3 linked regions of the Arabidopsis thaliana genome follow. The protein of the gene in region 2 interacts with the protein of the main gene of each other region in a pairwise test. Each region holds a gene or a part of one and is shown on either strand. Other genes may lie near its edges.

The links. Proteins that work in one complex are often made in the same cells at the same time.
Region 1: the proteins of ARD1 (region 2) and AT5G50100 interact in a two-hybrid assay, tested with the Arabidopsis thaliana proteins (one large-scale study listed by BioGRID).
Region 3: the proteins of ARD1 (region 2) and AT5G43830 interact in a two-hybrid assay, tested with the Arabidopsis thaliana proteins (2 studies listed by BioGRID).

The regions. Positions count from the first base shown.
Region 1 is NC_003076.8:20,370,099-20,373,993, reverse strand, and holds AT5G50100 (Putative thiol-disulfide oxidoreductase DCC), read right to left. Parts: upstream 2,197-3,895; 5' UTR 2,079-2,196; coding exon 1,955-2,078; intron 1,836-1,954; coding exon 1,693-1,835; intron 1,606-1,692; coding exon 1,498-1,605; intron 1,409-1,497; coding exon 1,352-1,408; intron 1,283-1,351; coding exon 1,217-1,282; intron 1,133-1,216; coding exon 1,072-1,132; intron 989-1,071; coding exon 942-988; intron 861-941; coding exon 822-860; 3' UTR 553-821; downstream 1-552. Other genes in the region: AT5G50110 (S-adenosyl-L-methionine-dependent methyltransferases superfamily protein), read right to left, coding at 231-479; AT5G50090 (D-ribose-binding periplasmic protein), read right to left, coding at 3,116-3,208, 3,286-3,407, 3,769-3,895.
Region 2 is NC_003075.7:8,429,689-8,433,777, forward strand, and holds ARD1 (acireductone dioxygenase 1), read right to left. Parts: upstream 2,276-4,089; 5' UTR 2,180-2,275; coding exon 2,162-2,179; exon of another isoform or gene 1,998-2,161; intron 1,845-1,997; coding exon 1,733-1,844; intron 1,653-1,732; coding exon 1,558-1,652; intron 1,425-1,557; coding exon 1,310-1,424; intron 1,227-1,309; coding exon 1,102-1,226; intron 1,023-1,101; coding exon 952-1,022; intron 839-951; coding exon 796-838; 3' UTR 519-795; downstream 1-518. Other genes in the region: AT4G14720 (TIFY domain/Divergent CCT motif family protein), read right to left, coding at 2,795-3,029, 3,103-3,166, 3,363-3,422, 3,732-3,828, 3,917-4,007.
Region 3 is NC_003076.8:17,621,704-17,626,264, forward strand, and holds AT5G43830 (aluminum induced protein with YGL and LRDR motifs), read right to left. Parts: upstream 2,657-4,561; 5' UTR 2,537-2,656; coding exon 2,334-2,536; intron 1,694-2,333; coding exon 1,453-1,693; intron 1,377-1,452; coding exon 1,256-1,376; intron 1,081-1,255; coding exon 890-1,080; 3' UTR 553-889; downstream 1-552. Other genes in the region: AT5G43822 (Pentatricopeptide repeat (PPR) superfamily protein), read left to right, coding at 1-11, 122-165; HSFA6A (heat shock transcription factor A6A), read right to left, coding at 3,734-4,348, 4,428-4,561.

The sequences.
Region 1 (3,895 bases), on a different chromosome or scaffold from region 2:
TTCATTGTGCAGGTAAAAGCATTCGACTTATCATGCTTTGACCCAGTAAGGACTTATAACAAATACTTGGTGGGCAACAAGCTTAAACCAACCATTAAACCCAAAATTGGATTCTAAAGCTTTCAATTTGATTAGAAATTCACGAATCTTTTCAAACAAATAATGCCCACGAATAATTCCAAAGTTCCAACATGTTTATCTAGCAAAAGGGTCGAGAGATAGAGAGAGACCTGGTTCCATTGGAGAAGTGTATCAACGTAGAGATGGATTTGGTCCTGTTGGCTAGAACTGAGAGTTTTGAAACATGAAGCTGTTGTGCTTACGGTGGCATTAGAGAGGGCTTTGTAGTGAAATCTCCTCCGAAGAAATGTGTGCGATTTGGTGCATGGAAGGTGTTTGATTAAATGCCCCAGAGAGAGAATATGTGAGACGCAGTGCATTTTTTTGGTGTTTTCAACAAATGAACAAATTGATCTCATATTCTATTGATTCTTAAAGTTTTTTTTTCACATACAACCTTTTTTCTTCTTTGGTGACTGGGAACAAATCTACAATGTTGAATTTCATTTTCATTATTCAAACAAATATTTCAATAACATTAGTAAGCTAACCTTTACAAAATCATTACCAAATATAAAACTCTTAACAGTTTCAAAATTTGCTGAAATTATTCATGTGTATAATGTATCATCAGGATGATTTGGCTAATGTAATGGGGCTGTGTATCATATATATACAAATTCTCACACTCACATAAAGAAAATTTGTAACTCCAAACTGGTTTTGGTATTTTGTAACAATTCAAAGAGTATAAAGAAAATTCATATCTTGCAGTTCTTGCTTTCACCACATGTCTCTACCTGCAAACACAATCATATCATTGATTGGTTTTACCGAGCAAAGGTTACTACGACAGAAAATCGATAACCTTTGTTCCCTACCTTATCTTTCTTTCTTGCTTCAAGAATAGCTTCTATAGATGGCCTCCCTAATCAACAAAGAGATCTAGTTTTTGAGACGCACAAATAATCAAGTAAGCTTGTACAACATTTTTCAGGTCATTTTATATACCTGTGACTTGAAGTCGGTATTTAGCCCATACATCATACACAACATCTGCTAACTTCCCTATCTGCAAGTAATCGCGTGTTATCCATGAATACGGAACTTAACACAATGGAAGAGATCACTAGGAGATAAAGAGAGAAAAGCTTACTGGTTCAAATTTGGTGATAGTGTAAACCCATCCAAGCCCAACTTCTTCATACAATCTCCTAAATGCCTGAAAACGTTACACCAAAATGATAAATATGAAATGGTTAGTGTAAAACAATGATGCTAATAAGCTTACCTCCACACCCTTAACAACGTTACCATCAGACTGAATGGCATGAATCTGCCCCATCACCTAATAAAGATCTCGATCAAATCCGAAAGTTCGAACATCAAACAGAAGATGAAACAAAATTGAACCAAATTAAAAGACAGTAAATTTACTGTTTTGTAATCAAGCCCTTGATTATCTTCCGGGGAATAATCATTTGAACTTATGTCGACAAACTTTATAGTTCCATGTTTTTCATTCCTTTCCATAAGCATATTAACCTTCATTCACCAATAAAAAGACAAAAATTCAGTATCAAAAACACTTTATGAACAAACATAAACAAGAAACAGAGGTCTAACTTAGACCTCACGCATACAGAGAGGACAATCTCCATCATAAAGCATTTTGATTTTCCAGTTTTGTGGCTTTGGTTCCTCTCTGTTCTTTAATGGTGTAATGACAGGATCAGTACTTGTTCCTTGTATCGCCCTAACTTGATATTTAAACCCTACAAGGAAAAATCATATACACCACAATTGACTTTAAACCCTAAATTGATATGAACTTTTGACACAACTCTTATGTTTCATGTATCTATCTTAGAACAGAATTGTAATGAAATTGTACCTGTTGGGATGATTCTATGATTGAAATTGGGATTGAAATGGCGAGATAATGATCGAAGAGAAGGGTTTCTTCGGTGCTTCCATATTGTGGATGCAGCAGCAGCAACAGCTCCTCTCGTTGCCATTTTTCTTTTTTTTTTGTTCTTGTCCAAAATTTTAAAAGCCCCTTTGATGGAATTTTGATTTTTGGTGTTTTTTCTCTATGTAGCTTTGGTTATGTCAATTTGTCAATGTGTGGTGTTTTAAATCAGAGGCGTTAAATTTTATGGTGCAGAGCCGTGCACGTGGCATTACTGTCTCCTTCAATGTTTTGTATTGTATGCCAGTGTTGGAGTACCGTGGAGAATGGGAACATCGAGCGTATCCCGTGTGTGGTTAGGTTAGGTCGGTCGGTTATGAGCAATATCAGAGACCAACTCAGTATATGTTTTACAGTTTTAGCTATTAGAGGGGTTTTAAAATTATAGTTGAGATTTTTTGTATGGTTAAAATTCATATTTTGTATTATTTATTTATTAGTTTAATGTATTCTATTGATTTATACATATTAAATATTCTATTAATGTTTTAATAATTCCAAAATTAATACGTTTTTGCTTTTCGAAATAGTGTCCAAAGTTTACAAGCAAGATTTTGATGGAGTCAGTAAGAAATAAAAGAGACTATAACATTGGTTACCAATTTTTAGTCATCACAATTTTGCAACGGACATAAGACTGCAATGATATGATATGTCTATCTTCAAAATCTGTTGTATATAAGCGAGGGATTAGCGACAAAAATTTTCCGCCGTTCAAATCCTCGTTAATTGTACATACTTTTTTCGTTTCTCTTTTAATTTTTAGATGTTTTAATAATACTCCTTTGGAGTACATTGGATCAATTATCTAATACATGATCAGCTTCAAGCACGCTCGATGCTTTCGGTTACGTTTGTAACGCTAACTTTTGATAATTTTTGTATTATTCTACTAGAAGAAGTAATGAGTCTTCTTCAGTCAAAAAAAACTGAATGATTGCTTTCGAATTTTTTCACTTTAATATCACATACTCCAAAGGACCAGCTTTTGTCATTAGCCACTCACATGCCTTCATATTTTCCAAACTATATCCTTAAATTCTGAAGCTTCTCTTTAATATTCCCCAAAGTTTTAGAATTTGCTCAGCTTGATCCTCCTTCCGATATGCTTTGTAATGATGGCTGCCATGATCTTGAGATTCTTGACCTTTCTTTCTCCTGTTTCTTCATTTGCAGCTATAGACGTTTTTCATCCAAGTTAAAACCAATTATCACTATAATTAAACATGGTAATCTTTGTAATCACATATTACCTGATCTTCATTGTCAAGCTTAGTAGAGTTTATTGCTTTCACCATCTCTAGCTTATCATCCGAGCCTTTACTTTCTTTCTTCAACTTCGAACATTTTTTGGCCATTAAACCCTTCATAACCTCTGAATTTCACCCCAAATAGTATCAAAATTTGTAGATTAGACCCCAAAAACGTATATAAATATAACTTTTAAGAGAGTGTTTATTTTAACATAAGTATAAGTACGGTTAAGTAAGTTTTCTAAAGCGCCTACAAATAGTTTGAGAAAATCAAATGCTAACTATGCGGAAATAGCTCATTCATTTCCTAGGGTTGCAACTTACGAGATATATGTAACATATTTATCAAACGGACTAATAAATATATAGTTCAAATTCAATTACGAGATATGTAATCGAGATGCAAGAATATAGAGTTGGAGTAGAATTATTGTTAGTTGAAATGTTGGAGTAGATTTAGGCATGTTACTCTAATATATATACCTTTGGTGGTAATGAGTCTATAGACGTGGCCGAGAACAAGCGTATCCGTGGGACGAAGGAGCTTGATCCTCGTGAGCCTAAGAGGCCCTCCATGACCGGAAGATGCTGACGAGAGAGCGGTGGTAGA
Region 2 (4,089 bases):
TCCCGGAGCAGGGAAACTCCCTAGACTGCCACGTAAGCTCCACGTCTACATAAATTATTATAAGCCTAATCATGGCTGCTAAACTTGCTAAGTTTACTTTTATATCCCCTTTTTCTTCCATTCAACTACTGTTTATTGTAATCCATTAAGATAGGAGAATAAAATGATTACTCCAATTCTATAGACTATAGAGTTAATGTAGGTCGGATTTAAGGAGATTCCAAACTCTAAAAGGAAATTACAAAAGAAAGCCACAAATGTAAACGAAAACGAAAATCTTATGTCCAACCACAAATACACAAAACCACACTTTTCTTCCTTAGAACCGTGAACATGTTCGATAACAACAACCACCAAACGAACCATCCTTAAAACCGTCAGCATGTTAAGATACACAACAACAACCAAACGAACCATGGTTTAGATTAAACCAAAGAAGTTGACGCGGTTGGACGTATTACTTCTTATTAGTTTCTTCTAATTTGTTGGTTTTTGAAAAGCAAATAAAAAAGAATAGAGATTTGTGTAAAAACTCAACATATTGCACATAGGAACGAACGTAAGACAATATGAATCCCAATGTAATCTTTTCGTATATGGGATACGACAAAGATGGTAAAGAGAGACATATCAGAGAGTGTAACTAAGTTTACAACAACTCAAGCATACCAAAAGCCATCATTCTACACAGGAATACATATAAATATCCAATACTTGACAGGAAAGCTTTCTTTATTGTAGGCCTTGTTTATAGATCCTTGTTTCAGAAAGCCAGATATAGAGAGAGGAAGCTCTCTAAGCCGAGGCATTGATCATGAAGTTATCGACATATTCTTTCCTGTAAAATATCAGAATTTATTTCTCGTAAAATAACAGAATTTCTTGCTTGATTATATATCCCATTGTTTGCATAAGAGAACAAACAAAAGGGGAAAACCCAGGACATTGTACCTTGCAGGAAGATGGTCGTGTGGGCGATTGTATGGTGTCCATACCGGTTCACCCACGAATAGCCGCATTGCCTGTTCAACAAGATATTTCAATTTTCTAAGCAAGCCCAAACTATAAAATAAATGGCTAGAAGAAAAGCTGACATTGCACCTTGATATAGTTGTCAGAGTCCACAGTGAAGCGATGATAGATCCCAGCAGGTAAGACTATCATACCTCCCTTCTTTACCAATACCCTAATCCAAGCTTCATTACGATCTCTCACATCAAAGTAACCTTTTTCCCAAGAAAATAAAACATGACTACTATATCGAAATTTTAAGTTTACGAGTAAAGCCGCCAGTAAAAGAAGTTCTTACCAGTTCCTGCAACGCAGTAACGGATCTCCTCATCAGTGTGTAAATGTTCTTCGAAAAAGCTCTTCACTTTCACTTCATAGTTTGGAAGCTTTTCCGGGCATACCTCACAAAAGTCCTGCATTTTGAACACTTTTTAATCATCAAACCAAGATTGAGAAAACCCCTAGAGAGTTAAAATAAGACTTGGACAAAAATAAACATCTACCATTCAAGTCTAGTGGGATAGTAAATAAATAAAGACCACAAACCATGTAAGAGTAACCACGAGATTCACGGATCTTTTTCAAATCCTCATCGGTTTCATAGTTATCAGCATCAAGTCTCCAGCTAAGTACTCCCAGCTCTGCACACAAACATTACATGTGAAACAAAATAGAGAAGCAGAGAGAACAACATTGAATTGAAACACACAAAGAGGGGGACCTGCAAGTTTGTCCAACGATACAAACTCTTTAGGATCCTTGTGGTGAGGAAGTCTCTGATCCTCTTCACTATCATCCATATACCAAGCTTGAATCACTTCTTCTCTCCCATCCTAAGCAAAAGCACATCAAGATGGGATTAGATTCCTTGGGAGGCAATGTTCAGATATTTTATATTTAATCTGATTTTAGCTTCAAAACTTCAGACAATTCGAGAAATCGTCAATTGCATAACTAAATTGAATACGAATAGGCATTAAACTGACTGCGAGATTTGAGCAAAAGAAGTAGTTATGATGATTCGAAAATCGTCGAAAATGAATCAAATCACTCAGATAACAATCGACGATTCATGCTTGCATCGCAAAACTAGGAATTATCGATTGGCATTAACAGATCAGAAGCAGAGGAGACAAAGATAAAAACATACCTTGACCGCTTCACCCATCGTGTTCCTCGTGATGTCTTAGTCCTTCTTCGTCTTCAAAACCACCCGATTACTCGATTCTTCTTTTTAAAACAGGGAAAAGATCAAATAAATAAAAATCTTTGGTTAAAAAGACTAAACTACCCTTATTTCTCAACTTTATAGAAGAATGTTGCAAATCTCAGACATATCACATACATCATGCCATGAAAATAGACAAATTAATTATCTCATACATATCAATCACAAAGAAGTTGTGTTACTTGGACCTCAAAGATTGGTATCATCAATAAGGTCTCTCTCATTATAAGACAAGCATTTACATAATACAAACCGCCACATCCTCTCTCTCTCTCTCGCGTCTCTCTAACCTACTCAAAACTACAGACCAAAAAAGATGGACGCAACCCGTAAAAAAAACAAAACCATACAAGACCCGCACTGATCCAGCTCAAATCTTTAACCCATGTTTCTTCCACAATGAACGAGAACATTCATTGTTTGCTTTCTTTCTTTTTGTACATGGCTAACATGTTATAAGAACATGAAATTGTTCTTCCCGCCTTTTGACCCGTAGTACCATCTCCAGTTCTTTTGGCACCTTGTTAATTATCTATAAAAAAGCGAATGAGAGTTTTAAGGGAGATCATTGGAACCATTTGACAAATGCTTGTTCATACCTTCGCTGTTTAGATCACTGTTTAGATCAACTGAGATATTGGGACTTTTTGTTTGATTTTCAGGTGACTCGCAATGCCCTGTGCCACTAAGGTTTTGTGAATATGCAGCGTTCATCCGTGGCTGACGATTCAGAAACATCTCCAAGCTAGAGGACGCAACTCCTGGAGCCTTCTTGGTCTTAGAAAATCTTCTGCTCAGAAAGAAAGGTATCAGTATTCATCGATTTGGAATAAGCAAGCACACAGCATAATAGCAACAACTACCTGTCTTTCCGCTTTTCAAGATATCTTTGCAACGATACTTTTCTGTTCGCCTGACCCTCAACATCTTCAGAAAAGACCAACAAAAAGAACAATAGTTAAATTAACAGAATTTCATGGTCGTATATCATGCAGAACAAGCAAGTAGTTTAGCGTAGCATGTAGAGGTGAAGAGGTGGACCAAATTTCGCTCTCAGGTGTTTTAAAGCATCATTGAATAATAGGATTTCATATCTTTAAGGTAAAATGAGTACTGTTTGTACCAGAATCACGAGAAGCAGGTGCCTTTTCAAGTCCATATTGGGGAAGCTCCACCATCTTCTCTGAAAAAATCAAATCACAATTTCAAAAAAAGGGGCACGAGGCATCTGTAGACACATAAGCTAGTAGAGGTAGCAGCAATTACAGCATTTAGACATGCTTCTTTGGTAATTTAACAATGCCTCCTTTCAAAATTGGACAAAATGAAAGGCCGTGTTTGACATAAGAAAGAAAGAAAGACTCATCTTGAGATGCAGCAGCTCTAGTCATTTTTTCAAGTTAGATTATACATTAAAAAAAAAACTCATTTCAAGTCTGAATCATCAATCTTTCAACTGAAAAGCAGATCAGACACTTTAGCAAATGCTTACCTTTACTCATGGGTTTCGAAATCATTCTACTAGAAGCAAAAATACCATTTTCAGGCAAATCAATTGGATTGGCTGCAAAATGCATGATAGACCGGGCCTGCAAATCAATACACAAGATGAATGATCAAAACCATACCATCAAAATTTATATTTTCAGGCTGGACAGAATTATGTGATTCATTTACCTTTTCAGGTGGTACTCCATCATATACATTCACTTTGCCACTATAAAATATCGTCATTTGCCCAACCACCGCATTTGTTTCAGCTGGGCTTCTGATGCAACATTACAAAAAAGCGTGTTTAAACAACTTAATTAAATAACATTGGAGTAGTAATTTGTTTATAAAACAACATG
Region 3 (4,561 bases), on a different chromosome or scaffold from region 2:
GAAAGATGAAGGTATCACATTGACAAAAAACTCACATTCTTGTTCGACTGTTATTCTTAAATGTAAATCTTTCTAAAGGTCTGAGTCTGATTTTAGCTTCTCTATGATATCCACTGTGCAGTACAACACATTTTCGATGTCATATTCGCGGAAGAGATCAAATGATGTATAAAGAGTGACTGTTTTTGTTCTTAACCTTTATCAAGTGATATTAGCAAGGATTAATGATAGACAATATATTTACTGGTAAAGATCATATGGACGTAACATCAATCACTCGTACTATCAATTTGCTAAACATCTTCATTATAATCAATAGGAAAATGCAAATGCGTTTAAGTTGGTGGTGGCGCCAACAACTGCGATGGCAGCACCAACATCTCAAATGTAAAAATTGTTAAAAATGAACATGATCCTTGCATGGACGATTTCAAACAAAGTTTGTGATAGTTTACCGATAGTTTCTTAATATGGTTTCTCATCTTAACAATCCCTTCCCTTATGATCAATGGTCCGAACCTTCCTTAGCTTACGTGAGAAACTGAATTGAAGCATAACATCAATTTATGTTTTCCACTTTTTCCTTGTGTATAAAAATGGAATAAAAACTTCGCGCAAAAAGCATTTACAAATGATGAAATAAAAACTTATTTATTTATTGATTTAAGAAACGTAAACAGAGAAACAAAAGTCTAGTAGTCTCGTAATTCCAAAGTTTCACAAAACTCGACATCCTTTCCAAATCCCACCTCAAACATGTACATAAACGCGTTTAGAACATTGTGGTTTGAAATTATTTTCTCAATGTAACTCAAACATGTAACGAAAGAGAGGGGACAAGACAAGAGGGAGAAGATGCTGAGCTTGTGATTTGTGTATGATTTCCGGTTTAGATATGACCGGCCCAATTTTGGGAGCTATCGACTCTAGGCATTTTGGTACCCTCTCTCTTAGTCTCAGCGTCAACCTTGAAGGTTGCACCACACACGTCACCTGAGCTGTCCACTCTCGGCACTGGCTTCAACTCGTTCTTTGGGTGCTCAAAGCTCCTCAATCCACCCGACGACGTAAAGAAACAACCTTCAAACACCAAAAAAAAAGCCATATAATCATTTAGTGAACTGCTGCTCTACAACAATCACACAAACAACCAAAGTCTTGGATCAGATTATCAAAATCTTAATACCTATCTTTCTAATAGGTAAATTCTATTTATCTTAAAAAGAGTCAAAAACATTTGGAGTAAAGTTGGTACCTTTAGGGAAAGGACCATAAGATTTGGCGCAACCTTTCTTCACCATCTCGGTGTTATCAGAAAACACAAGGTGCCCTTCAGCATCGGTTCCCCAGAAGAACGGCACACTCCCATCGGCGTCCTGCACATTGACAACAAGTAAATCAAGTTCCGCGACTTAAACATTGAGATCAAGAATGTATAGCTGCTGGACTTACAGCAGCAGCAAAGACAGTTTTCTTGACGCTATCGAAGAGTATAAACGCAAACTTTCCATGGAAATCTCTAACAACTTTGTCCACAGGGTAAGGACCTCGATCACGTAGTGTCCTGTAAGCCTCAATCACAATGATGGCCTCGTTTGTGATTTTGTTCAGTCCATACTGCTGCTTCAGAAACGGTAGGTTCTCAATGTGTCCTTGGAAGAGACAGAAAATATCATCCACCACAGCAAATAATCTGTCAAATTCAATAGAAACCAAATCACATTACCAAATATACAAAATCAAGAGCCACAGATTACTCTAATCCAGTGTAGATCTTTTCAATCATCTTCTATCGATGAAAAATAGAGTTAAATAGACTCTGTAGTTCCGTATTCCTCCAATAGCTCACAATAATATCATCATCATCATCTAATCTACTTTGTAGAACAATAACATTATCATCATCATCTAATCTACTTTGTAGAACAATAACATTATCATCATCATCATCATCTAGTGGAGCTGTAGAATCTCTAATCCCAGATTCTACCAAAAATCACTAGCTACTGTTATCTCATCATCATCTAATGTAGTTTGTAAAATCTACCGTTACTGTTCATCATCATCATCATCAAGCTATAGTACCAACACAAGCAAGCCAAAAACCATAAATCCTAGATCGCAAGCCAAATAAAGTCAATCCAAGTAAATCTGCAGCAAAATAGCGAATATATCCAACATTATCGCAGATCAAATCAAGAAGATTCCAGAAATAAACAAAATCGAAACCGAAAACATCGGAGATTCAAAATCTACTACTTAGAAATCAAAGAAACAACAAAGATTTGACTAGATCAAGCATATAATCAAAGAGAAGAGGACTTGAAATTGACCTAGGAACACGAGGATCAGGATTATCAAGAGAGTAAGCAACAAATCCAGAAGATCCGAAGTTAAGCGTGACGGAGTTGGGATTCACGGAAGCGAAATGAGTAGCGAGAGATCCATCTTTCAACGCGAAAGCAGACTCAGACGAGTGTGGACTCTGTAAAGCTTCAGGGCTATTCGCCACCGTCTTCTCAAACACAGCGAGCATTTTTCTCAGTGATGATTTTCTCGGGAAAATAAAATTTGCAGAAAGAAGAAAAAAATGGAGCAAACGAGAAAATGATGAGGAAAAAAGTGAAGAAAGACCGGGAAGGCTATAAAGGAATCTTGTAGGATATACGTGATTACTATTTTACCCCTACGTTATTGACACGTGTCGTGATTCAAGAGGATAAGAAAGTTTTGGATATTTTTCTTTTTTCTCAATGAGGTTAATAAAAAAGAGTTAATTAGATGGATAATCATATCTTTAAACGGAATCACAATTATCTGATTTTAAACTTTTGATAAGGCAATGTAGATTGTAAAAATAGTAATTTGTTTGGATAAATAGTAACGCAATTTATAGGAATGTTACTAGTAATTTTTGGAATGTAATAACTATTTTTATGATAAAAAGTTTATAAATTTAGTAGACGTGTAAAATAGGACTTAATTACGTAATTACATTCATTGCAAATGCTGGATATTATTGGTAGTGTAATAATATTAAATAGATAAACGATTTTGAAAACATATCTGAAAAGTATCCATTTTATTATCGTTTGTGTAATATTAGGTGCGTTTGATAATGCAGTATTTATTAGAAAGTTGTCGCTTAATTAGAGAAAATTTTCCTAAGATGGAGGAATTAATTTATTTAGTAGTAACGTATAAAAAAGGCTTTATTTGAGGGAAGAATCTAATGGTACAAATGAGGATAAGATTTATAAAAATAAAGTCATGAAAATGACGTGGCGAGTACGTGCACTCGATTATTAATAATTAAAAATAAAATTAAATCGAGGAAAGCCACATGGGTGATCATAAAAGGCAATATCTCTTAAATAAAAGGTCAATCCAACGGTTCGATTCGTCACGCGCTTCGATCGAAACGTATAACTGACTTAAATTAAAATAATTGTATCGTATTTTAGCTACTTTTTAAAATTGACAGCAATAAAATTTGTGTAAAAATGTAAATACTTTATAGTTAGTGCTCAGGAGAAATAAAATGTTGATAGACGTCTTTGAACAATCAATGGAGTGGAAGGTGTGGCCGAATTAGTCAATTTGTTAACAAATGCCAAGGCCAAATATTTTGTTGGGCTTTTAGTTTGGCCCAAATTGTATACAATGCTTGATGACAAACTCGGAAAAAAAAAGCAAAAAAACAAAAAAAAACCTCTCATAATACATTAGTTTATTATATAAAATGTTCCACTAAATCACACATCTCCTCCTCACTCAACACGAAACCCTTCCAAATTCCTTCACTATCCATTTCAATTTCATCCTCCCCTTGTCCTTGATGCTCCATTGAAGCTATGTGAAGCTCATCACCATAATCAAACACACCTCCACATTGATCATCGATGTCATCACCATACTCTTCTGGCTCAGCTTTAACAAACTTTCCATTATCCTCAACACCATGGCTTGAGATCACCTCTTGCTTTTGCTCTCGATTCTTGATTCCTTGCAGATTACGTTTCCTTAAGCTCTGTAAAAAACTCGGTTTCTTAATCTTCTTTAGCAAGAAATTCATCATCATTTCTTGCTTTACTTCTGTGACTTTCAGTTTCTCTTCCATCAAATGCAGATATGTCTTCACGCTTTCTTGTTTTCGTCGCAGTCTAACCAGTTCTACTTCTAAAGCCATTCTGTCTCTTCGCAGCTCATGGATCTCTCCTTCTAGCGACTGCGTTTGCGTTTGAGATGATGTCTTTCTTCTCTTGATGTTCTTAAGAAGATGCCTCTCTCCCTTCAGAAAATGCTCATTTGCAAATTCCCATCTCTCTGTATCAATCTTCTTAAACCCCTACAGATCATTAAACAAAGATTTAATTTTTAATGAAGATCAAAATAACCAAGACAAAAACTCAAAAGTAGTTACGTACATAAGTATTGAGCTGTCTAACAAAGCTGGAGAAATTATTGTGCTTAAAGCATCTAGGGAGGCAAATTAGGGCAAAAGTCTCTGGTTCCCAAACAATGAAGCTGTTGTTGTCTCTGCTCCATGAAACTATGTTGT